Rhinolophus ferrumequinum: one gene and its partners. Each later gene encodes a partner of the first gene's protein in a complex. Links are inferred from orthologs where the notes say so. Each region holds a gene or a part of one and is shown on either strand. Other genes may lie near its edges.

What was found. The genes of interacting proteins can lie anywhere in the genome.
Region 2: the proteins of ARL1 (region 1) and ARFIP2 are in contact, whole or in part, in a crystal structure (PDB 4DCN), measured with the Homo sapiens proteins. The link is inferred for Rhinolophus ferrumequinum from reciprocal best matches to the Homo sapiens genes ARL1 and ARFIP2. Residues at the interface, in NP_001168.1 of Homo sapiens: Glu17, Arg19, Gln38, Ile46, Ile49, Gly50, Phe51, Asn52, Val53, Glu54, Thr55, Gln64, Trp66, Ile74, Tyr77, Cys80, Tyr81; in NP_001363487.1 of Homo sapiens: Phe205, Thr212, Lys216, Thr217, Asp220, Asp278, Ile281, Lys282, Phe285, Leu286, Glu288, Asn289, Lys292.
Region 3: the proteins of ARL1 (region 1) and GOLGA4 are in contact, whole or in part, in a crystal structure (PDB 1UPT), measured with the Homo sapiens proteins. The link is inferred for Rhinolophus ferrumequinum from reciprocal best matches to the Homo sapiens genes ARL1 and GOLGA4. Residues at the interface, in NP_001168.1 of Homo sapiens: Ile49, Gly50, Phe51, Gln64, Trp66, Ser73, Ile74, Pro76, Tyr77, Cys80, Tyr81, Ser83, Glu115; in NP_002069.2 of Homo sapiens: Thr2173, Glu2174, Glu2176, Tyr2177, Lys2180, Val2181, Glu2184, Glu2190, Thr2193, Lys2196, Val2197, Thr2200, Val2201.

What each region holds. Positions count from the first base shown.
Region 1 is NC_046293.1:17,760,993-17,768,146, forward strand, and holds the start of ARL1 (ADP-ribosylation factor-like protein 1), read left to right. Parts: upstream 1-4,138; 5' UTR 4,139-4,378; coding exon 4,379-4,382; intron 4,383-6,699; coding exon 6,700-6,837; intron 6,838-7,154. UniProt on the Homo sapiens protein: GTP-binding protein that recruits several effectors, such as golgins, arfaptins and Arf-GEFs to the trans-Golgi network, and modulates their functions at the Golgi complex.
Region 2 is NC_046294.1:45,324,965-45,332,526, reverse strand, and holds the start of ARFIP2 (arfaptin-2), read right to left. Parts: upstream 3,019-7,562; 5' UTR 2,881-3,018; intron 2,116-2,880; 5' UTR 2,074-2,115; coding exon 1,975-2,073; intron 1,729-1,974; coding exon 1,632-1,728; coding exon of another isoform or gene 1,627-1,631; intron 971-1,626; coding exon of another isoform or gene 924-970; coding exon 805-923; intron 636-804; coding exon 414-635; intron 1-413. Other genes in the region: TIMM10B (mitochondrial import inner membrane translocase subunit Tim10 B), read left to right, coding at 3,179-3,217, 3,418-3,513, 3,699-3,875. UniProt on the Homo sapiens protein: Plays a role in constitutive metalloproteinase (MMP) secretion from the trans Golgi network. May have important functions during vesicle biogenesis at certain cargo subdomains, which could be predominantly utilized by secreted MMPs, such as MMP7 and MMP2.
Region 3 is NC_046300.1:14,969,622-14,977,028, forward strand, and holds the start of GOLGA4 (golgin subfamily A member 4), read right to left. Parts: upstream 3,019-7,407; 5' UTR 2,763-3,018; coding exon 2,688-2,762; intron 1-2,687. UniProt on the Homo sapiens protein: Involved in vesicular trafficking at the Golgi apparatus level. May play a role in delivery of transport vesicles containing GPI-linked proteins from the trans-Golgi network through its interaction with MACF1. Involved in endosome-to-Golgi trafficking.

The sequences.
Region 1 (7,154 bases):
CACAAAAACTTATACACAAATGTCCATAGCATCATCATTCAAATAGCCAAAAAGTGGAACAACCCAAATGTCCATCAACTGATGAATGGATAAACAAACATTGTATATACACACAATAGAATATTATTCAGCTTTAAAAAAAGAATGAAACTCTGACACATGCTGTGTGGATAAACCTTAAAAACATTAAGCTAGTAAAATAAGCCAGACACAGACTGATAAATATGGTACTATTACCCTTATATGAAATGTTTAGAATAGGCAAATTTATAGTGACAGAAAGATTAGAGGTTACCAGAGGCTAGGGAAGTGAGGAGTGGGGAATTATTGCGTAATGGGTATGGAGTTTCTGTTTGGGGTGCTGAAAATGTTCTGGAATTAGGCAGTGGTAATAGTTGCAAACCTTGCAAATATACTAAAAACCACTGAAACATACACTTAAAAATTGTGGATTTTATTGTATGTGAATTACATTTCAATTAAGAAAGAAACCCCTAAGTCCTAAAGAGAAATTCTGCTCTGTTACCAAAGTACACGTTATTGAAAGAAAACATTTGAAATGAAATGCATATCTTGATTTGTGAAAATCACATACCTAGTTATGTTTTTCAAATGCTCCTTAGGTTAAAATACAATTATAAATATACAGTAAGATAAGCCCTTTCTGAAGCTTATATTTATTACACATGTATTTATACTTATATTTTATAGGTTTCTGCTTCATGGAATAAAATGTGAGCAAGAGAATGCAGTGTCCACTAGGCAATGAATCACACACATCTGTTAGGTTTCAAATTTGGAAACTGCAGCAAATTCTTGAGGCATGGACAAGTGTTTGAAAATCAGTTTGCCAAATGTATAGATGATTTGGTAAATGGCTCAATTACAGAAGGCATCATAATCTAGTTACGCCAGGTGTGGAAGCCAAACGATAAGGGCTCTGTCCTGGTTCTGTTGCTTAGCTTGTTTCTACGTCTTCATCTGTAATGGAGATGGTTGACATTGAGATTCCTTCTAGTTTCAAAATTCTGAATTTACTTGATCTTATTGTGACTTTATAGTTAAAGGTGTTTTGAAATTGTTTTCCTTGCTTGGACTGCATTAAAACATTCACATTAAAAAGTTTAGTAAATTGTTATTGAACCATATAATTTGAAAAGGATTAAATTGTCCACTCAACTTTTAATAAATTGTACCAATTGATCTCGGTCTACTGAGAATTTGTTTGAAGCAATACCACCACCTGGTGGCTTCTTTTCAACGATGTCGACTTTCTTGTATGTGATAGTTTGGCCTCTCCTTTCTAATAAAGGCCAGTAGTTCAGAAATGCCTATTTTAGGAAACAAGTTAAAAAATATTGCATGCTATATGTTAAAGTTAACCAATGTTTATGGCATTGGCTGTAGAAACTTATTTTACAATTCAACAAATTATCTCATTAAATATTTGTTTAATGACCAAGTACAAGAATAAAATAGTGAACAAAATAAACAAAAACTACTTGCATTCATAAATGTTACATTCTAGTGAGAAGTAGATAATAAATAAATAATAAGCGTAATAAGTAAATAAATTATAACATGTTTAGTGGGAAGTTGTATTAAAAAATCAGGATAAGAGGAATGTTGGGTAGTTTACAATTTTTCCCCCCTTTCTTCCGCCTCCCCACACTCCCACTCGGTTCATGCCGTTGTTTCTCAGTCTAGTTGTGTAAGACACAGCTCTCTGGCCCATACTGGTATTATGAGCCTTGTAGTCCCCCTTGTCGGTAGGCAAAGAGGCTCACCAGGCTCAGCTCCAGGGAGAGCTGTTGTTCACAATCTTGGCTGTAGAGGGCACAGCTCACTGACCCATGTGGGAATCGAACCAGCGACCTCCATGTTAGGAGAACGGCACTTCAACCACCTGAGCCACCAGGCTGGCCCCCCAAATTTTTAAATAGGATGATATTTGAGTAAAGACCAGAGAGAGATGAGGTCAATTCTTCAGATATGCTTGTCTGAAGAATAAAATTCCTTAGACTTACAATCTAAATGTTTAGCTTTAATTCCAGCATGCTGCTATAATTCTGCTTCTTCAATTATTTCTTTTTTAGGAAACAAGAACTGTAATACCACGTCAATATTAATAGGAATGACTACATTTTGAAAAATAATGTTGCCCAAAAGATAAGGTACTTCTCCTGCAGAGTAATGGATATCTTTAGTTAGTATCAGAAAAAAAAAATGAAATGGTAGTTTTGTTAACTTATTTTTCACTACCTTAATGTGACATTTACACATTGAAAATTGTGTTCCCATGAAAGAACTACTCAAGTCTTAGGAATTGAGAATTGAGAGAAGGGAGGAGAAGGTGAAGGTGGGATGTACTCACTAACAAAAGATTAGCTAAATTTTTCTAGGCTGTTTATGGCTTTATTTATAAATTTGTCTCAACACTTTTTGAAGCCATATTCATTTTCTGTCTTAAACACCCTTGGGTTAATAAGTGCCTCTAAATGGTAGCAACTTCAATTTGTATATAGCACTTCAGTTTACACAGCATCCTCACGTATATATTATTTGCTTATTTGGTTCAGAACATACAGTATGAATATAAAGTTTAAAACATGTCTTTCCTTTTAGTTCTCATTTAAGGGGACTCTTTTTTCAGGGAACTATGTGCATTATACTGGAAACATAAATCCGACATGGACATAAGTGTTTTTTAATTAAATTGATTGGGGTGACAATGGTTAGTAAAATTACATAGGTTTCAAGTGTACATTTCTATAATGTATCATCTATATATCACATGTGTGCTCATCACCCAGAATCAGTTCTCCTTCCATCACCATATATTTGACCTACCCTTTCCCCTTATATTATCCTCCTACCCTCTTGACATGGACATAAATTTGAAGAAGCAATGGCCAAGATTTGCCAAGTGGTAGCAGCTAATCTTGGCTAAGAGAGGGATTGAAGGAAGATGAATAGGTGAGAAAAGTCAGTGGAATCACAGCACACTGAGGCCCAAGAGTTGAAAAACGCAATGCTTATGAAGCACAGCCTTAAAAAAGTCCCGGTGTTTAGGTGAAGAGTTGCTCAACTCTCCCCTTCTCAAACAACAAAACAAATGACAACACCACCACTCCCCCCCCCAACTTTTCCTTGCAAGAAAAATTTCTGTTAACTTATGATTTGGGAGCGGGAAGGGGAGATGAGAACAAAAGGCAAATCTAGTTCATGCTTATGCAACTGGAGAGGTCTGAAAATGAAGTAAAAAACAAAACAGATAGTCCATAAACTTCTGTTGAATGAACATCTCTATTATAAATAAAAATATAATATGCAAAGACTATATTTGGAAGGTGACCCAAGAAAGCATTCACAATGGTTACTTCTAGGGAGAACTGCGGGATTAGGGGCTAGGGATAGGTTTACTTTTCTGAGTATTTAAGAATTTTCAAGACACGCATGCTCAACTTTAAAGAAAAAAAAGAAAAAGAAATTCTAGGAGAATCCCTTCTCCCCATCCTTCAAGTATCGCTTCCTGCCCGCGACGTCACTGTCAAGACCTATATTACTTCCGATCGACGACCCTTGAGGAAACAGGCAGTGTGGGATCAGCCCGCCCACACTGCCAATCACAGAAAGGTGGTCAGGTGCACCGTCATGTGAAAGAAAGGTGTGTGTGTGGGGGGGGGGGGAGGCGCTCTAACGCTGACCCTGCAGGCCACTGCGATGCCAAAAATCTCTCTTTAGCGGCCTTAGGTGTCAGGATGATCTGCATTGGTGGCGGGAGAGTTGGGGGTGTCTTCTTCTTCTTATTGCGTAGTGCTATTGCCTTCTCGGAAAACGCACCCAGGCAAAGCTGGGTCGCCCCGTAGGGCGCTTCAGAACCCGCAACTCTTGCGACGCCGCCGCCTGCGCCCACGTCCTGTCAGGCTGCCGCACCGAAGCCTGACTAACATTCTTGGTTAGCGGATTCGCCGCTTTTTGGTGTCAGAATTTAAAAATGAAAATTCAAATTTCCCTGTTTCGGAAGCCCTCCTGTCAGAGAAAACAGAAGCAGGATAGATTTGGGGCCCTTGACCTTTTTTTCTCTTCCGGCTTCCACAGTATTTACACCCAGAGCGCGGCGGACCTGCGTCGAAAGCGACAACGCGGACGCACAGGCCGCCGTTCAGGCGCGCAGTCGTGACGGCTGCTCCGTCCCGCCCCCGCCGGGTGTCCGACGTGGAAGTTGCTGGCGGACCAGGCTTCCAAGGAAACCGCCTCCCAGCCGGAGCGGGAGGCCGAGGCGAGTGGAGGCGGCGGCATTCGGGCTCGAAAAAGAGTCGCTGCGGAGGCCGCGACCTGTCTCTGACGATCGACGAGGGCGGACAGGCGGCTCATCATGGGTGAGGGATCTGAGAAGGGCGCTTGGGCCGCGCTTGAGGGGGCAGCGGCCCAGGGCTGGGGTCCGGAGGAGGAGAGGGGCGGGCCTGGGAACCCCGGACTAGCCAGCTTCTCACCGGAGAAGTCGCTGAGGACTTAATTCACGGTGGCGCTTCCCCTGTGGGGATGGATCCTTCCTGGAGCGGTCGTCCCAGTCCTCGCTACTTTCTCCTTCATCCCAGCGGGGTCGACTGGGGTCACCGCGGGGCCGCACAGCCCTGAGACCTGGGAGCCCGGCTCCGAGTCCTTTCCCCTGACCATGAACTTTTCCCTCACCAGCTCAGACTCAGTTCGACTTGCTGGGCGGAGTTGGTCTTGCGAAGCTTGGCAACATGTCAGTCACTGGTTCGCTGAGGTTTCTTGGGCAAAAAATGAGATCTGACCCCATTGTGGAAACTCGATTCTCTTTCTCTCTGTCCCCTCCCCCCCAGTCGGTGGGACTGCATCCGTTTGAGAAATCCAAAGGGAGGTGTTGCTCATAATTTTGTTTGATAGCCATCTTGGCATTTGTCTGCTTATCTGTAGCTTGTGTAGAGAACAGAGTAAGATGGAGGAGGGAATGGGGAAGGGATTACTGGTCAGTGAATGAAATTTTAACCTCAATTTTTGGAGTGCTAATTGCGGGAACTACATGGCCATCACCAACATCAGGTAAAGCCGTCGTCTTCCCCGCTAGAGCCCAAAATGAAGGTGCAAGTCCTTTAACTTGTTCACAGCCCTCCGGATGAAGATGGAAATTCTTTGGCTTATTTAAATACCTCCACGGTTTTCTGGGGGGTTTGCTTCCTGCTCTGGAACACCACAAGCACTTTCCTGTTTTTATCCATAACCACCTTCAGTTTTGCTCTTTCGCCTTTTTTTTTTCAAACCTGTACTTTGTCAACATTCTACCCCGACTGTTACACTTCCCAAGGGTTCTCTAGCTGAGGGTGTGTTCATTTTTCCAGACTTGCAGCTCTTGATTGTGCCATTTCTTTGTCAAATAATCATGTATTGGTGAGTGGCATCACTTCTGTTGTCAGTTGTTTTTTATATTATTAAATGTAACTTTCAATCTAATGCTTTTGGTGGGAAAGAGTCAAGCCAAGGTGCTTTTTCTTTGTAATCGTAAAAGAAAGAAAAATTAGTTTCTTCTGTTGTAAAAAGAATAATAAAGACTAAATTTCCACCTTCCTTTCTATGAGGAGTTATTTTACGTAAGCACAATCATTTCTAGGAGGCCTGCTGAGACAAAGGATAATTTTTTAATTTTTAATTTTTTTTCCAGTTTTACTGAGGTTACGATTGACAAATAATTGAATGTATTTCAGGTATACAACATGATATTTTGATATATGTATACCTTGTGCAATAACTATACAATCAAGTTAATACATTCATCAGTTCACGTAGTGTATGGTAAGAACCTCTGGAGATCATTCTTAGCAAATTTCAAGTGTACACTACATTATTATTAACTATAATCACCGTGCTGCACATTGGTCTCCAGAACTTACTCATCTCTTAACAAAAGTTTGTGCATCTCTCCCATTTCCCTGATTCTCCCACATCTGGTAACCACAGTTATACTCTGTTCGCAAGGTGTTTTATATTACAGAGTACCTCGCATATAGGAAGCTTCCTGGAGATATTTCATGATGCATTGAATGTAGCGTTATTTTTTAAAATGAGTGTTCTATGAAGAATAGTTTTTATTCTGGGCCGCTATGTCTCAATTTCTTGTGCTAGTTATATTGCTTAACAAAAATCTCAATGATTAAAGGTGTAGTTCTGATGGTACTGATGCTATATAATAATAAATATTTAACATAATGTTTATTATAATGTAAATATATTATGTATAAACTATAATAATTATAATAATTGCTTTTCATGTGCGAGGACTTCATTGTCCCACTGTCATTCTGATTCGCCCTTTGGTTTTTAGGGGTAGTGGGGTGATCATGCCAAGCTATCCATATTCTTTTGATTAGAAAGTGAGCTCCATAAAGGCAGTGGTCATATTTCTCTTATTCTTTAGTGTATCTTCTGTGCTTTCCTGATACAATATCTAGGACATGGTAACCTTTCCTGATACAGTATCTAGGACATGGTAACAATCAGTAATTACTTGTTTGATGTTGAATAATGTATTTTAGTTGGGGCAAAAGTATGCATCTATGAATGGAGGAAAATATAATATTTAATTTGGTATAGCTTTGAAAAGGCAAGATTAAATGTTTTGTGGACCTAGTTCCGAAAATGATATTTAATACATTTTTGCTTTTATTATTTTTTTAGGTGGCTTTTTCTCAAGTATATTTTCTAGTCTGTTTGGAACCCGGGAAATGAGGATTTTAATTTTGGGATTAGACGGAGCAGGAAAAACTACGATTTTGTACAGATTACAGGTTGGAGAAGTCGTTACTACTATTCCTAGTAAGTGTTGGAATGATAAACTAATTGTAGGGGTTTCTGTTTTCCACCCAACATAACTTTATTTCTGAATGAATAATTCATATAATAAAGTAACTGATAAGGTTTGTAAACTTGTAGCATGAGCATATTATTGATAACACCTTTTTTTTTTCATAAACTGAGAGGCAGTTTGTTGTAATTTATGGACCCTGGTGCATGGCTAGGTTTTGCTGTTTAGAGCTATTTTAAACATTGGCTTGAGGTAAGACACTTAATCTCTTTGAGAGCCAGTATCTTTTTTGATAAAATGAAGACAATAAATATCCACTGGCTTTGAG
Region 2 (7,562 bases), on another chromosome or scaffold:
AAGGCTTTCTTAGCCAGAAAGTTAGTGGGGCCACCCTGGGGATGCCTGGGGTGGGAATGTGGGGGTGAGGTTCTCAGATAAGTTCACAGGACTAGAACAAGGAAAGCCAGTGCAGCAGGCAAGGGAGAAGCTCTGATTAGGCTGAGCACCAAAGGCATTCTCGCCAATGCAGAGAAGGGTTACTTGTGAGGCACCTAGTGTGCCCCCGCCCCCTGCCCCTCCGACTTTGGACCTCCGTACAAACCCTTAGGCTGCCTCCACAGGTGAGTGCTGCTGGGGACAGGGCTGGGCTCACCCTGGAGGGATTCTCCCTCTGGGCTGCAGGAGGGATGGAGGGAGGGAGGCTGAGGGGTGACTGCCTGGGAGGGCCTGGGCCCAGTCCCCCCCAACTTTCTTTGGCCTGGCTGAGGCACCTGAAGCTCTGGGGACTTCTGGCTGAGGTCAGCAAAGGCGTCACCTAGTGCATGCTGGGTCTGCAGCAGGCTGTAGAGGTGGGCTGTCAGTGCCCGGCCCAGCTGCAGGACACTCTCATACTTGCGCTTCGTCTCACGCAGCAACTCAATCTGCAGCTCTAGCTCCAGGTCCACAGTCCGGGAGCCTCGGCCAAATCGCTCTGATAACAGCTGCTTTGTGCACTGATTGGGAAGTGGGGGAATAGGTCAGAGACCCTAGCACCCTGCTCCCCGAACAGGTATCTACCCCAGCATACCCAGGCTGGAATATAGATGGACTATTAGGATCTGGGAGAAGGCCAAAAGGTACCCAGAGGGAGTTTGGGGGAAGGGAGAGCTGCTTGAAGCCCACCTTGTATGTGTTGATGCCCCATTTCTTGACGATGTCAAACTTCTCTCCAGCGATGCCCCGAGCCACCTCATCTCCGGAGCCAGCAGGAGTGGCACTGTGAGATGGATGGCGGCCAGACCCTAAAGGACCAAGTTCTCTGACTCTAGCCTCTCTCAGATACAACCAGACGCCTCTGGGGCTCCACCCATACTTCCTTCCCAGCACCTGAACATGACTTCCCTGAGGGAGCAGAAGCTGGAGACAGATTCTCCTACTTACTAGGAGCAGCTCATACCTTGTGCCCTGAGACCCAAATCCCAAAAACATCTGGCCTCCTTCTGAGGTGGTGGTGGGGTTGGAGGGGGAGGGAAGAGGGAGCTGCTGGTGTACAGGGGCAGAGGAAACAAGAAAATAAGATGAGTGTGGGGCGGGAGGTCAAGGATGGTGGGTCCTGATAACAGGCAACCTAGTTGACATTCCCATGTGGAACCCTAGTCCGTGTGAGATTCAGGGCTGCTTGTCCCTCTAAACTTTAGAGTCTAAAGTAAAACTCTGAAAAGCCTCATAAATCTCCAAATCAGCCCAAGCTCCAGAGCACAGAGTTCTTAACTTGACTTAGGTGGTAGCAGCAGAGAAATGGCACATCTCAAGGGAAATGGCAAGTAGAGGCAGTTGAACAACCCTGGGAACTGGTCTTGGGCTGAGACAGTCCACAGGATTCACACTAGCAGAGGTTTCCAAGATCTCCAGAGGTAACTCAAGCTTTCTTACACATATCCTATGCTCCCCAGAACCATTCCTCTCCCCTTCTCCACTCAAGCTTCCTGTCCTGTTCTGATCATTCATACCTGTGGGGATGAGTCCATCACCAGAGCCCCCATAGCCACCAGACACAATGCTAGTTTCATTGAGGTTGGGTCCTGACACCATCACCTGCTGGAGGTCCTATAGGCCAGAGAAGAGGGGGGGGCTTCAGGAACATAGGGACAGCTGAAGCATTTTGGGGGTGAGAACAAACTTGGATTGAAGCATCACAGAGAGAGCACACAAAGGAAGTCTGCACAGAATCAGAACAAAAATTTGTAAAAAGAAGGGAGTTAGATAAGTTAGGAAAGGCTACTGGAATAGGCCAGGGTTTATGAGTTGGGATTCCTAAATTGAACAATAAGGAGAAGAATCAAACAGATGCACCTGTTCCAGCCCATCATCCTCAGGAAGCTGCCCAGCTTCGCCGTTCCCATGGATGGGGATCTCCATTGTAGCTGCCTTCCCTAGGATCCCGTCCGTCATGGCTAGGGAAGGGACTGGAGTCAATGTCTCCACCCCAGCGCCCTGCAAAGCCCAACACAGATAGTTCTGGAAATTGGCCAGGACCACAGAAGAGAAATGTCTCCCCTACCGTTTCTGAGGTTTTAGAGGTTGTCCCAGGGGTAGAGTGTTCTGGAGTGTGGCTACCACTCCTTCCCTCAGATAGTGCGAGTATATGTACCTCTTCCCTCCAAGGTGCATATTTTTACACATGCTCAGGTGTCTTCTCATGACTCTCCAACTTCACCAGGACTCCGATGATTATTCATGCATTCGATCATTCAACAGACATTTAATGAGTGCCTACTATGTGTCATGCACTATTTGAGGCCGTGCAACACAGCAGTGAACCAGACAAAGACTGTGTTCTCCTGAAGCTCACCCCCACCCAGGTGTTTCTCCCCATCAGGAGATGAACCCCTTTCCAAGGCTCAGTATGTTCTCCATCGCTTAGCCTTTCAACACCCCTTTAGTGTTTCTTCCCCTTTCCTTCAGACCGTTCCCCCCTTCTCCATACCATGCACCTTCTCTTCCTCGGGCTCTTCCCACCAGGCCTTAGTTGATTCAGTTGGTTTATGTTCCCAGCCTCTGGGAAAGCCTCTTTTCCCCAGGACATAGGTGATGGCTTCCAAAGTCGGTTATGTTTCCCTAGGTGTGTTTCCCCCACCCCCCACCCCAATACACCTGGGCATCAGGTGTGTCCTCATCCTTTCCCAGGCTCAGAGGTATCTTGCCCTCAAGACAGGTTCATGCATTCAACTTCCCCTTGCCCAAGTATGGCCCTCTCACCTGAGGACAGGCCGCTCTTCCCCTCAGGGCGCCAGGCCCGGGCCGCGGGGGGACCTCGGGCTCCAGCTCCCGTCGCGATCCTAGCAGCAGGTCAGGGACTCGGAGGAAGTGACGTCCTCTCCCGGGCAGAAGAAGCCAGCCACGTCGCAGATTATAAGGGCGGAGGTGACGTTAGCAGCCGGGGGCAGGACGATCCTTGAGTCAACCCCTCAGTCCCTGGGGATGGACGACAGATAACTTCCGGGGCGTTACCGAGAAGCTGTAACGGAAGTGACGCAGGACGTGAGCTTGTGGCGGGATGGAGCAGCAGCAGCAGCAGCAGCAGCAGCTGAGAAACGTGAGTGGCAGCTCATGTGGCTTCAAAGCCCTACATTCAACTGTCCTCGCCGTCTGCATGGCGGGAACCCCAAAAAGCTAGGGATCCGAGGGCTAGGGACATCGGGCTGTGGTGCGCGGTCCTGGTAAACTTCAAGGCGCGGCCTTGAATTCAGGTGTGGGCCCCCTTATAGCTGAGTTCTTGGTCCCCTTCTCTCCTAGTTGCGGGACTTCCTGTTGGTCTACAATCGGATGACGGAACTCTGCTTCCAGCGCTGCGTACCCAGCCTGCACCACCGAGCCCTGGATGCCGAGGAGGTGGGGGACCGAGTAGGGGATTACTCTTCATCCTCAGAGTTAACCGTAATCTGCTTCCTTCCTTCCTCCACTGCCTTTGGCCAGGGCCTTTCCATGTCCCTCGCCCCTAGGTTGGAGATGGGAAGGAAGGAAACGGATCTGACAGGACACCTTTGGCCCCTGTTTCCACCCTGTCTTCCTTCCAGGAAGCCTGTCTGCATAGCTGTGCTGGGAAGCTGATCCATTCCAACCATCGCCTCATGGCTGCTTATGTGCAGCTCATGCCTGCCCTGGTACAGCGCCGCATCGCAGACTACGAGGCTGCCTCAGCTGTGCCAGGTGTTGCTCCTGAACAGCCTGGAACCTCGCCATCAGGCAGCTAGCCATCCCCAACCCCAGGAAGGGAGGCACTGGATGGCCCCTCAAATTGAAGGAGCCAGTGGACTGAGTGCCTACTATGTGTCATGCACTATTTGAGGCCATGCAACACAGCAGTGAACGAGACAAAGACTGTGTTCTCCTGAAGCTTATCCCCACCCATGTGTTTCTCCCCATCAGGAGATGAACCCCTTTCCAGGGACCTTGCTTGGGCTGGGTCCAGCCTGTATATAGAAAGTGAGGGCTTGCCTGAGAGCTGGGTACTGTGGCTCCAGGAAGAGTTAATAAACCTGCTTTTATTCTGTTTGGTTTATATTTTGGGCAGGGAAGCTTTGCCTACTTTATTAGCATCATCTTTTATTCTGTCAGTTAGTGAATATCTGCTGGCTTTAGCCCTGTCTGCAGAGAAAGTGCCTTCTTTGTATGGACGCAAACCTTAGCATTCCCAGGCACCTGGTTAAAGCAAGGTCTGTGGGTACAATTTTAAGGTTGGTAATAGCAACGGGAAATTGGTTCCTGCCCAGATGACAGAGAAAATGGGAGCTCTGTCTAGCTCTTCTTCACATAAATCTGACTTTAATGGCTCACTTGTGAGCCAGGTGTGCATTCATTTATAGCTATTTTCTTGTGGACTGTGTTTTACAGGAAGGAATTCTGCCAGATTTAGGGAAAGGAGGAGATGTCTAAGGACAGTAGATCAAGAAATCACAGGGTTTTTAGGCACTACCTACTGGGAAATCAGTAGCTCCAGGACAGAGATGAAACCTGTAAGAATTCAGGGGTGTTCTGGAACTTCAGCCATTTCCCCAAGTTGTTACTTTCTCACTATTTCCTGTCTTCCTGAATGAGCAGTAAAACCTTTAAGCAAAGAAGGTCTGTGTGCTTGTCTTCAGGGGCAGTAAGAAAGGGGAAAACTTAGGCCGAATTCTGCAATACTGTCAGACTTGAGGAAGAGAAACCCAAGGGAGAAGTAGATGGTAGTGATTATGGGGAAAAAAAGGGATAAAATTAAATCTTCAGGCTCTTTAATGTTACCTTAATGTCTCAGTGCTTATCTATAATCTTCTAATTCCAGCTCTTCTACCCTCTACCCCATGTTGTTCCCACTGTGCCTGTTCTGTGATTTCTATCTAATTCCAGTCTATCCATTCTTTCCTCATTATTGCCCCCTTGTGGAATTTACTTCTGCATTCAGCAGTATAAATGGCCTATCATTCCATCACCCCATTTTCTTGCTGCCCTTGTGTCCTTTTTGTATCGTTCCAGCTGTTTAATCTTTTCTGTTCCTCCATTCAAATTGCTAGAGAAAAACACAGCTGTATAATAAATGCGACTAAATATTAAAGGTCTCCAACTTCAACCAAGCTCTTACTACCAATAAGCAATCCTTGTGGGTTCCGGTCTATTTGCTCTCCTTAATCACCAAGGCAGTTATTTACACCTTCACTGCTCTCCTTAATCCCCCATCTCACCCTCCGCTATCTCCCATCAGGTGACCATGTCCTTTCATTTTTTACAGAGGAAATGGAAGCTCATAGATAATTGGCACCCACAATAATAAAAATAACTTCTTACAGTCACCCTCAAAGCACACGTTTTCTCCCTGTACAGATCGGGAAGTTGAAATTCTCTATGAGCAGACATTGTATTAAAATACCGATCTGCCTTTAAAATCCATGTTTGTTTGTTTTTTACTTTTTTTGCTATACCAGTTTACCTCACAAAATAATATCTATTGAGCCCCCACTTTGTACAGGTTCTGATGTTGGTATATGTCATGCTTCATCTTAGTTAATCTTTATGAAAAAACTACAAGTAAAAGGTATTATCCCCACTTAACAGATGAGGAAGCAAGAATCCAGAAGATACTAGAAGCATATCTTACGCACACTTACCTATTGAGAAAAGTAACTCCAATCAGCTTTTTGCCTTTCTAGGGTTGGTTTTCCTGCCAGGTGGCTTCAGAATATAATTGCCTACTCCTTTGCAAAGTCTGATTCCTTTGAGGCTATTCAAGTGTACCACCGTCTCTACTTGTCCTTAGAAACTACTGCTCTTCTACTTTCCACTAAATAGCCAGCCCTTGGTCTTCGTATCTACCCGTCGATACTTAATGTTTACATGGGCACTCCATTCAGTATTTTGGTCTCTTAGCTTTTGACCCAATCGCCAATGATTTTCATTCTCTTAGCCACCCGTTCCCATGGTTGTGTCCTAGCCATTGTCTTCGCCTCACACTGCTGTATCTCCAAAACACTATTACTTGCATCTTATTCATCTACCATATTCTTCCCACTTTATTTATGGAACTATTCCTCTACTGTCTTTGATTTCACTGGAGCAGTTAGGTCATTGCTTCTACCTTCTCTCCATTAACACCTTCCTGTCTTTAGATTCCTATTTGGCTTAAATTCTACTGATCCTCTTGGAATAAGCTGCATTTGCTTAACTCATCTCTCTTTTTTTGACTCTTAGATAAAATGAAACTTTTGTACTTGCATTTGGAGAACTAAAAGCCGCCCAAGGACATCACTACAGATCAGATTTATATCACTGAATCCATGGTTACCAGCTTCAAGTAGAGCCTCAGCCCCTATAATCCTACTGGATTTTTCTAGTCGTCTCCCTGCTTGCTGAAATGAGTATTTCAAACCAATATTCTTAAGTCTCTTATTAGCTTACCCCCCCCACACACACACACCATTCTCTTCACTTCTTGCAGATAATCATATCTTTCTTCATAGACAAAAGTAAAAGTTGTCAGTTGGGAATTCTCACAACATCTGGCCACCAAACTTGGGTCACGCATCCACATCTGCATCATTCTCTTCCTCTCCTGTAGTGATTACTTTTAAGGCCTATTACTCTTAAGGCCTATTCCTTTGCTCTGAATCTTAGTTCTTCCTTCCTTTAGAATCTCTGATTTTTCCCCACTTTACTAAATTCTCGTCAGTGTTTAAACTTGCTAAAGACTCTCCTGGGCCAGCCCGGTGGCTCAGGCGGTTGGAGCTCCGTGCTCCTAACACCGAAGGCTGCTGGTTCAATTCCCACATGGGCCAGTGGGCTCTCAACCACAAGGTTGCCGGTTTGACTCCTTGAGTCCCACAAGGGACAGTGGGCTCCGCCCCTGCAACTAAGATTGAACACAGCACCTTGAGCTGAGCTGCCACTGATGGCTCGGTTGGAGCACAGGCTCTCAACCACAAGGTTGCCGGATGGACTCCCGCAAGGGATGGTGGGCTGCGCCCCCTGCAACTAACAACGGCAACTGGACCTGGAGCTGAACTGTGCCCTCCACAGCTACGATTGAAAGGACAACAACTTGACTTGGAAAAAAATCCTGGAAGTAAACACTGTTCCCCAACAAAGTCCTGTTCCCCTTCCCCAATAAAATCTTTTTTTAAAAAAAAAAGACTCTCCTGATAGAACAAACCACTCTGTACCTCACCCCTGCCCCCAGCTATCCTAATTTTTTTCTACTTTACAGCTAAACTCAAAACAGTTGGATACTTTGGCCCTCTCCATCCCATTCTTCTACCCGACCTGTTTTGACTTCTGGAAGCTTTATTTTGTTGAAATGGTTCTTAACTGAGGTCACCCTGGCTTACTGAGGATATGGCCTTCATATCCCTGAATCAAGTCCAGGCTTACTTCCCTTCTCAGTAGCCTCTCGTACTATTAACTACTAATAG
Region 3 (7,407 bases), on another chromosome or scaffold:
AAGGGAGGGAAAAAAACTAGAAATTTTCTAACATCAAGGCAGAAAAGAGATGATTCAAAGAGGTTAACTACCAATGAAGAAAGAAAAGGTTTGGAATTAGACTTCTCATCTGCCACAGAGATAGAGAAGAAATACATTCAAAGGTCTGAAGGGAAATTTCCAACCTAGACCAAGAACAAACAAATAAATCCTCTTGAGTGGGTAAAAGGAAACTGCCTTTCACACCCCATTAAATTCTTGAGGGCATGGTACCTTCAACACAAAACAATTTATACTCAAAGTGAAGAAATGATAATATACAAACTCAAAATCCTTTGCTTAAGAAAACAAGCATTTGCGTAATCTGTTGCAAAAAGGATTATCATCAAAAAAGGTGTTTTTGTGTTTTTTTTCTAATTCATGCATGAAAGAAATCCTTAACTGAGAACAATGATCCAGAACTACTCATCTGCAATGTTCAGTGTTCGGAATAGCTGAGAGTCTGAGACCAGAAGAGAATCAAGTTTCTATCAGTTGTTGATCGCTAACAATTTCCTTTTGCATTCTGGATAAATACGAGTATAACATAATATCAAAGAGAAATGTTTTAATTCTTTTGTACACAAAGTGATTTTATTTGATCTAGACATAGTCTCACCAGAGGCATCAACATATCAAACCTGGGAGCTCTAATGTGTTAGTTTGTAACTAGCTTTTTTATCATTGTTCTAAAGACCGTCTTTTTGTTAACGTATATAAAAGCAATTAATTTTCATGAAGAAAAACTAAACATTACAAATAAGAAAAAGAATACTCATAATATCTCACCAGCACCTTCAAGCATAATCTTCTTAAAATACTTTTACTATGTCTGTATATAAGTATTTATATACATATTGTTTCCACAAAACTGAGATTACATGCTTTTTAATTTTTCTTAACATTAATATTAGCATATTAATAATACTTTTCTGTAGGCTCTAACACTAGCAGTGTGATATTCGGCAACTGAACTTCTTTGAACCTCACACTCCTTCATCTATAAAAGATTATCTACCTCGTAGGTTTATGTGACAATTAAATAAAATAATCCATGTAAAAATACTAAGCAAAATGCCTGGCACATAGTAAGAACCCAATAAATGATGGCATTTTGACTACCGGATACAACTTTCTATTTCTATTGTTAAACATTTTTTAGCCTACTTTTACCCATTAAAACAACATGAAATGAAAATCCATGTGGCTAAATCTTTGAATACATCCTAAATGTTCTTAGAATAAATTTCTAGAGGTAGAAGACTGGATCAATGATGTTTTATACGTTCCTAAATGTAAGTGCCTTACATTCACTAACATGCCCGGGTCCCCACATTCCTCATCTCTACCTCACTTTTAAGTTTTTTGTTTCTTAAATAACTGTTTTGTAAAGTCAGAAAAGCCTGCAGTAAATGGTGCAAAGAGTAAAACATTTACTATTTAAATTTTAGCCACTATTTACATTTCACTTGGGAGAATAAACAAGCCTTCACTGTCATGTTCCAATATATTTCAAGCACTGTTTTACTCTACTCGAGCTTTAAATTTTAAGAGAATAACTTCAATTTATAGTTCAGAACAAACTCAGTGCAATAGCTGTTTAATAGTTGTTCGTTAGACGTCTCGTTGTTTAAAAGTTATATAAGATGTTATGTTAAAAAATGTATTAGAGCTGCCTCCAACTTAGTCAAAATTCAGATTTCCTTGTGGAAACTAAAATTGAGAGAGAGATTTGCTCAATGTGTTGAGATTCAGAAAGCTCGGGAAGAAATTTCGCAGAAGCCCTCATCTTCCCTGAAGACACCACGTGCCACCAGCACCAAAACACACATCCATTGGTGCTTAAGCTACTGTTTTCTTTAAATTAACACTAACACGCCCCCTTTTTCCTGGAAACTGTCATTTCCTGAAGCAACAGCATTGGTGAAAAACCACGTAACAAGAGTCCTGAAAAAGCACACGCCGGGTTGGAGACAGGCACAACCCCAGCCCGGCCTCAGAGTGTCAGCCCCGGTGCCAGCCCGGGATCAAACAAGTTATGCTAAGTGCCTAACTCGTGACAGCCTCCAGGGCTGGACGCCGGCCACGCTGCCACCGCTTTCAGGTCCCCACGCTCTTGCAAGCAGCCTCGCCTGAAATGGCTCGACCCATGGCCCTCACCCCTGAACCAGGGTGTGGAATTAGACTTCAGTCACGCGTCGGAGGTCCTGCGGGATCCTGACCGACCCCTCGGTACTCAGTCTCGGATCCGGGATGGGAGACGGGGCTTTAGTCAAGAGGTCAGACACTACAAGGGACCCAGGTTTCCCCATCCTGCCCTCACTCCTGAGTTGGGGTCTCGGCTGGGTGGGGAAACCTTCGATATGGGTCAAAAATCGTGCAACATCGGAGCCCCTCCCACTTATTCTCAGGCCGGGGTCAGGCCGGCAGAGGGGAAAACTGTCACAGAGGTCAGCCATCACGAAGGAGCCAGCCACCCCCAGCCATTTTCCAGAACGGACTTTTGGGATGGGGACCCGGGTCAGGAGCCAACCTGAGGTCGTCCCCAGCGCGGGGTACGCGGGAATCCTCAGGTTAGAGCTCAAGGATCACGAAGAACCACCCCTCCTTTCTGCCCCGGAGCCAGGGTCCAGGGGTGTTGGGAAGTAGGGAAGAGGCAGCCATAGTACCTGAGGAGAGGCCAGCGCCTGCTGGAGCTGCTGCTGCTGCTCCTCGCTGATCTTCTGCTTCAGTTTCTTGAACATGGCGCAGCGCGGGGTCCTGAGTGTGAATGAGACCTGAGGGGGGAGTGCCCAGGCAGACCCGGCCGCGGCAGCGACCGCAGCTTCTCTACAGCAGGGACCGCGGGGGCCGGGCCTCGCCGCCTGCTCCTGGGGCTCGCGGGCAGATCGGGACTCTCGTCTTGCAGGTGTCGGCGTCGCCGCCGCCGCGTCTCTTCCTTCTGGGTGGCACTGGTTGGCGGCCCCCCATCCAGCCCGGGCAGCGGCGGCGGCGGCGGCGGCGGCGGCGGCGGCGACAACGGCAGCAGGTGAGCCGTGTGCCAAGGGCGCCTGCGCGGCCTACGTGGAGCTCGCCGGCGGAGCGCTACGGGGCGCGGGAGGGGACAAGCGCCCCGTCTGGCCGGCACATGCGCGCTCGGGCCGTCGCTCCCGAACGCCGGAGCGCGGAGGGCGGCGCAGGGATCTGCGGGGCCCAAACCCATTGCGCGCAGGGCTGGACTCAGAGCCGGGCGCCCGCGCTGCTGCGAGCTCTCCACGGACGGACACCTGGGCGTCGGCTCTGCGAAGTCACACGGGGACGGTGCTCTCCTGTGGCTCGGCTGGCAGGCCCACCGCGAAGTGTGAGCGTCGGGCATGGAAGAAGGAGCCGTCAGGGAACCTGCCGTGGGCTCTGAAGGATAGTGTACTTTTATTCGGGGTCCGTGGTGAGGATTTTGTGTCTCCAGTACCGACGTAGTACTCCTGCTGCTCCCCAGAGAGACCCTCCCCGCTTCCTTGACAGGAGGCTCCCGGGCTCCGGTGTTACAGGCCGATATCGTAAAGACCTCAATTATTTGGACATCTGCCTTTGTTTTTTAATTTCATTGAAATCATATATTATCACATACTTTATTCATTCAACAATCTTTATCACGCTAAGTCCAGTTCCTTGGTGATGTTAAAAGAATTCAGGGCCCGCGGAGGGGGCGGGGGGGGGGGGGGGAGACACAGATTCCTAAAGAGTCCACATTTATCCCTAGTACCTGCAATCATCCTCAGAGAGTTTAATGTTTAAGTGCCTGATTCATTCAACACCCTGCACTTTGGTCATCTGCGACCCCTCAAATCTATGTCATCAACCTACGTCTATACCAAATGGCTTCACATGGCCTCAGGTATCAGAATCTGACAGTATGTATACTCATCTCCACATTTTAACAAATTGTATTTACTAGCAATTATAGGAGCAAGTTGCTCTCTAAGATTCCATAGCCTGATCCCTAAATGTATTAGAGCCCGAGCAGGGCCTGCTCTGAACCCTGAATTGACAACTGGGATAAGTCCCCTTACCTCATAGTGAACACCTAGTTTCTTTTTTTCTTTTCTTTCTTTCCTTCTTTCCTTCTTGCCTTCCTTCCTTCCTTCCTTCCTTTCTCTTTCTCTTTCTTTTTCTCTTTCTCTTTCCTTTCCTTTCTTCTTAGGAGTCTTTCTCTCTCAAGACTATAAACGTCAGTAAGCTTTCAGCTGCTCCCAGACTCCAGATGCCTGATATGCATTGTCACCCCTACATTCACATTATAAATCAAAGGTTGCCAATATTATATTTATGCTTACAAGGTCGGACAAGTAAGTTCACGAACTCATCCTAGAAAAAGTGCTATATATCTCATTGCTGAATATCACTATGGTCACCTTTGAAGTACTCCCCTTGGGAAGCTATGCACCAATGTCAGCACCTAGCCCACCCTTCAAAGCAATTTTGGAACTCTTTCTGGAATGGCCAGCAGAGCTGTCATCGTATTACCTTTGATGTCCTGAATGTCATCAAAATATCTTCCATATTTCATCTTCTGGTAAAAAGAGAAGTCATTGGGAGTAAGGAGGGTGTTCTATAGTTGTTTGTTTACTAGCTGAAAACTCCCACACAGACAGTGCCATGTGAGCTGGTGCATTGTCGTGATGCAAAAACCATCAATTTTTTGTGAAAAGTTCAGGTCATTTAACTTTTTCACACAGCCTTTTCAGCACTTCCAAATAGTAAACTTGGTTAACTGTTTGTCCAGTTGGTACAAATTCATAATGAATAATCCCTCTGATATCAAAAAAGATTAGCAACATCGTTGAAACAAGTCCGCGAACTTAATTGTCAGACCTTCGTGTGTATGTATGTATGTAGGTATGTATTTATGTGTATGTGTATACATACATATGGGCCCTATCAAAGCAGTCCATAATAAAAAATAAACAAATAAATAAGAAGAAATTTGAGGCATCTCTTAGAGAAAGAAAAAGGCCAGAAAAGGACTAATTATGTGAAAAAAAGCCTTGCTAGGACACAAAAAAAGAGAGGACAGGGGGACAGGGTTGAAATCATCACATTTAACCACAATTTTGTTGACACAGCTAGCCTCCTCACAGTTACCGTCATTCAGCTTCAGGCCTCTGCAAATTAACATTCATTGTCTGTTCTTAATTAAACCTGTCCTTACTCTAATTCTTCAGCCACTCCTGAATACAAATCACCACCTGCTAAAGGCTCTTGCCTTGGTGCACTTCTCAGAGTCCTGCATTAACCCAGCCAGAGCACTCTGCTTGCCCCAATATTCCATGTTACTATTTTGAACTCATCTTCTACCAGCTGCTCACAGACTGGCACACCTCACTGCAGAATGGAAGGACGTTTGAAATGGGCTTGCACCCAATCCTCATGACCAGAGGCCTCATGAATTTAGTTCCCCAGAGGAACTCATGTGTTCCTATTAAACACAAAGAAGCAATATTCATAATTATAGACCAAAACTGATTATCATTCTTTCACCCCTTCCAATGGCAGATGCCATTCTACGTCTATATTTCAGAAAATGTTCAGAATAACATGATCACTAGGGACTACGCCTCAGAAAACAGCATTACATAGTAGTATGAAGTTCCTTTCCAAGCCTTACATAAGAAAATAGTATGTCAGGAAAGGCTTCTAGCCAAAGAACCAATTGTAGCTGAAATCTTGAATGCTGATTTCCTTCTTTTCTGGTGATTGGCCCTTTTGCATCACCACACAACACACTTTCTTTGCCCTCATCAAGAATCCCGATCCCTGCCATCCACAGAAGTATAGCACAGCAGTAAAGAGCATGGACTTTGATGTCACCCAGATTAGGGTTCAAATACGAGTCAGATATTTTCTAGCCCTGTCATCTTTGGCACTTAGATAAACCACATAGTACAAAGTCAAATACCTGAAGGAAGCAGAAAGGTTATGAGTTAGCACATATGGTATAAGACAGTGGAGGGTGAGGGAAAGTAATAAACTAGATACAAACACATCTAGTACAAACACATCTCCAGGAATTTTAAGTCATTGAAGCAAAACAGTACTTCAAATAAAATTTAGCCCAAAAGCCAGATTGTGATCTCTGAGTCTCAACTCTGTACTTCGTTTTCCTCATCTGTAACATTGTAATACTATTCACAGGAATGTTGTGAAGCTGAAATGAGATGATATGCATAGAGTATAGCTCATAAATGACACTTACAAATTATCAGAGTTTCCTTCTCTTCTTACTTGTAACACTTTCCCTCTATATGTTGACAGCTCCAGCCTAGATCTCTCCCCTGAGCTCCAGATTACAGCATCTCCATTAAGCTCTCACGTTTGGGGAGACGAGAACCATGACTCTCATGCAATTTAGCCAGTGCCCAGTACAGAGCCAGCCACTAAATTTCTGCAGAATTACTTAGTCTTAATACATCCAACTGCCTACTAGACAACTTAATGACCCAGAGGCACTTCAAATACAACATGTCCCAAACTGAAATCATCCACTACTAAACCATCACTTTTGCAAAAAAACAGTATGGCTATATAAAGTTGGAAAACGTTGGAAAAACCTCTCGTGAAAGAAAGGTCTACACAATGTCTAAACTTAGACTATGACTCCCCCAGGAATTTAGCCTACTTTTTCATCCTGGAGTCTTTGCTTTAAGGAATTTTTTTTTTTTTTTGTATCTTTGTTTTTAATTCCCATTGTAGGCAGAAAGTAAGTAAACTATGGAAAAGTGAGAGGTTTCATTATTATTGCTTTTGCTTGTTTGATAAATAGTCACAAAGAAGAGCAAAAAAAATGACTATCCCAGAGTCATATGATCTCAGTTACAGAATTGGAAACTGACCTCAGGCCTTCTTGCCCTTTATCCTGGTCTCCAACTGTAATATGTTCAACAGTTCTGGCTCTCCTCTGAAACACACCCTGCTCAATTTTTTTTTAAAAGCAGTTCAATTTAATTTTGAACAGTTTTATAATTGTTTACATGACATGTCCTAGGGATGTTTACATGATGACTCAACAATTTAATGAGAGGAATCATTTGAAGGAAAAACTTAATACTGGGCTGAGAAAAAAACAATTTGTTTCAAGAATGAGGCTTCTTGGTAACAAAGAAGAGTTGATGAAATGGAGGTGAGGTGTCAAATTCCTTCCTCCTTATTAAGTAACTACTTGATAATCAGACTCCTAAATCAACAAATTCACTCTTGCAAACATTTGGATACTGCTTGTGTTGTGGTTAAAAAAAAAAAAAAAGACACTTGCTTCATATTGAAGATGTGTGGGTGGTGTGGAAAGACTAGGTATCATAATGAATAAGCACACAGACATTAAGCTCAACTGGCTGGGCTCAAATTCCAGCTTTG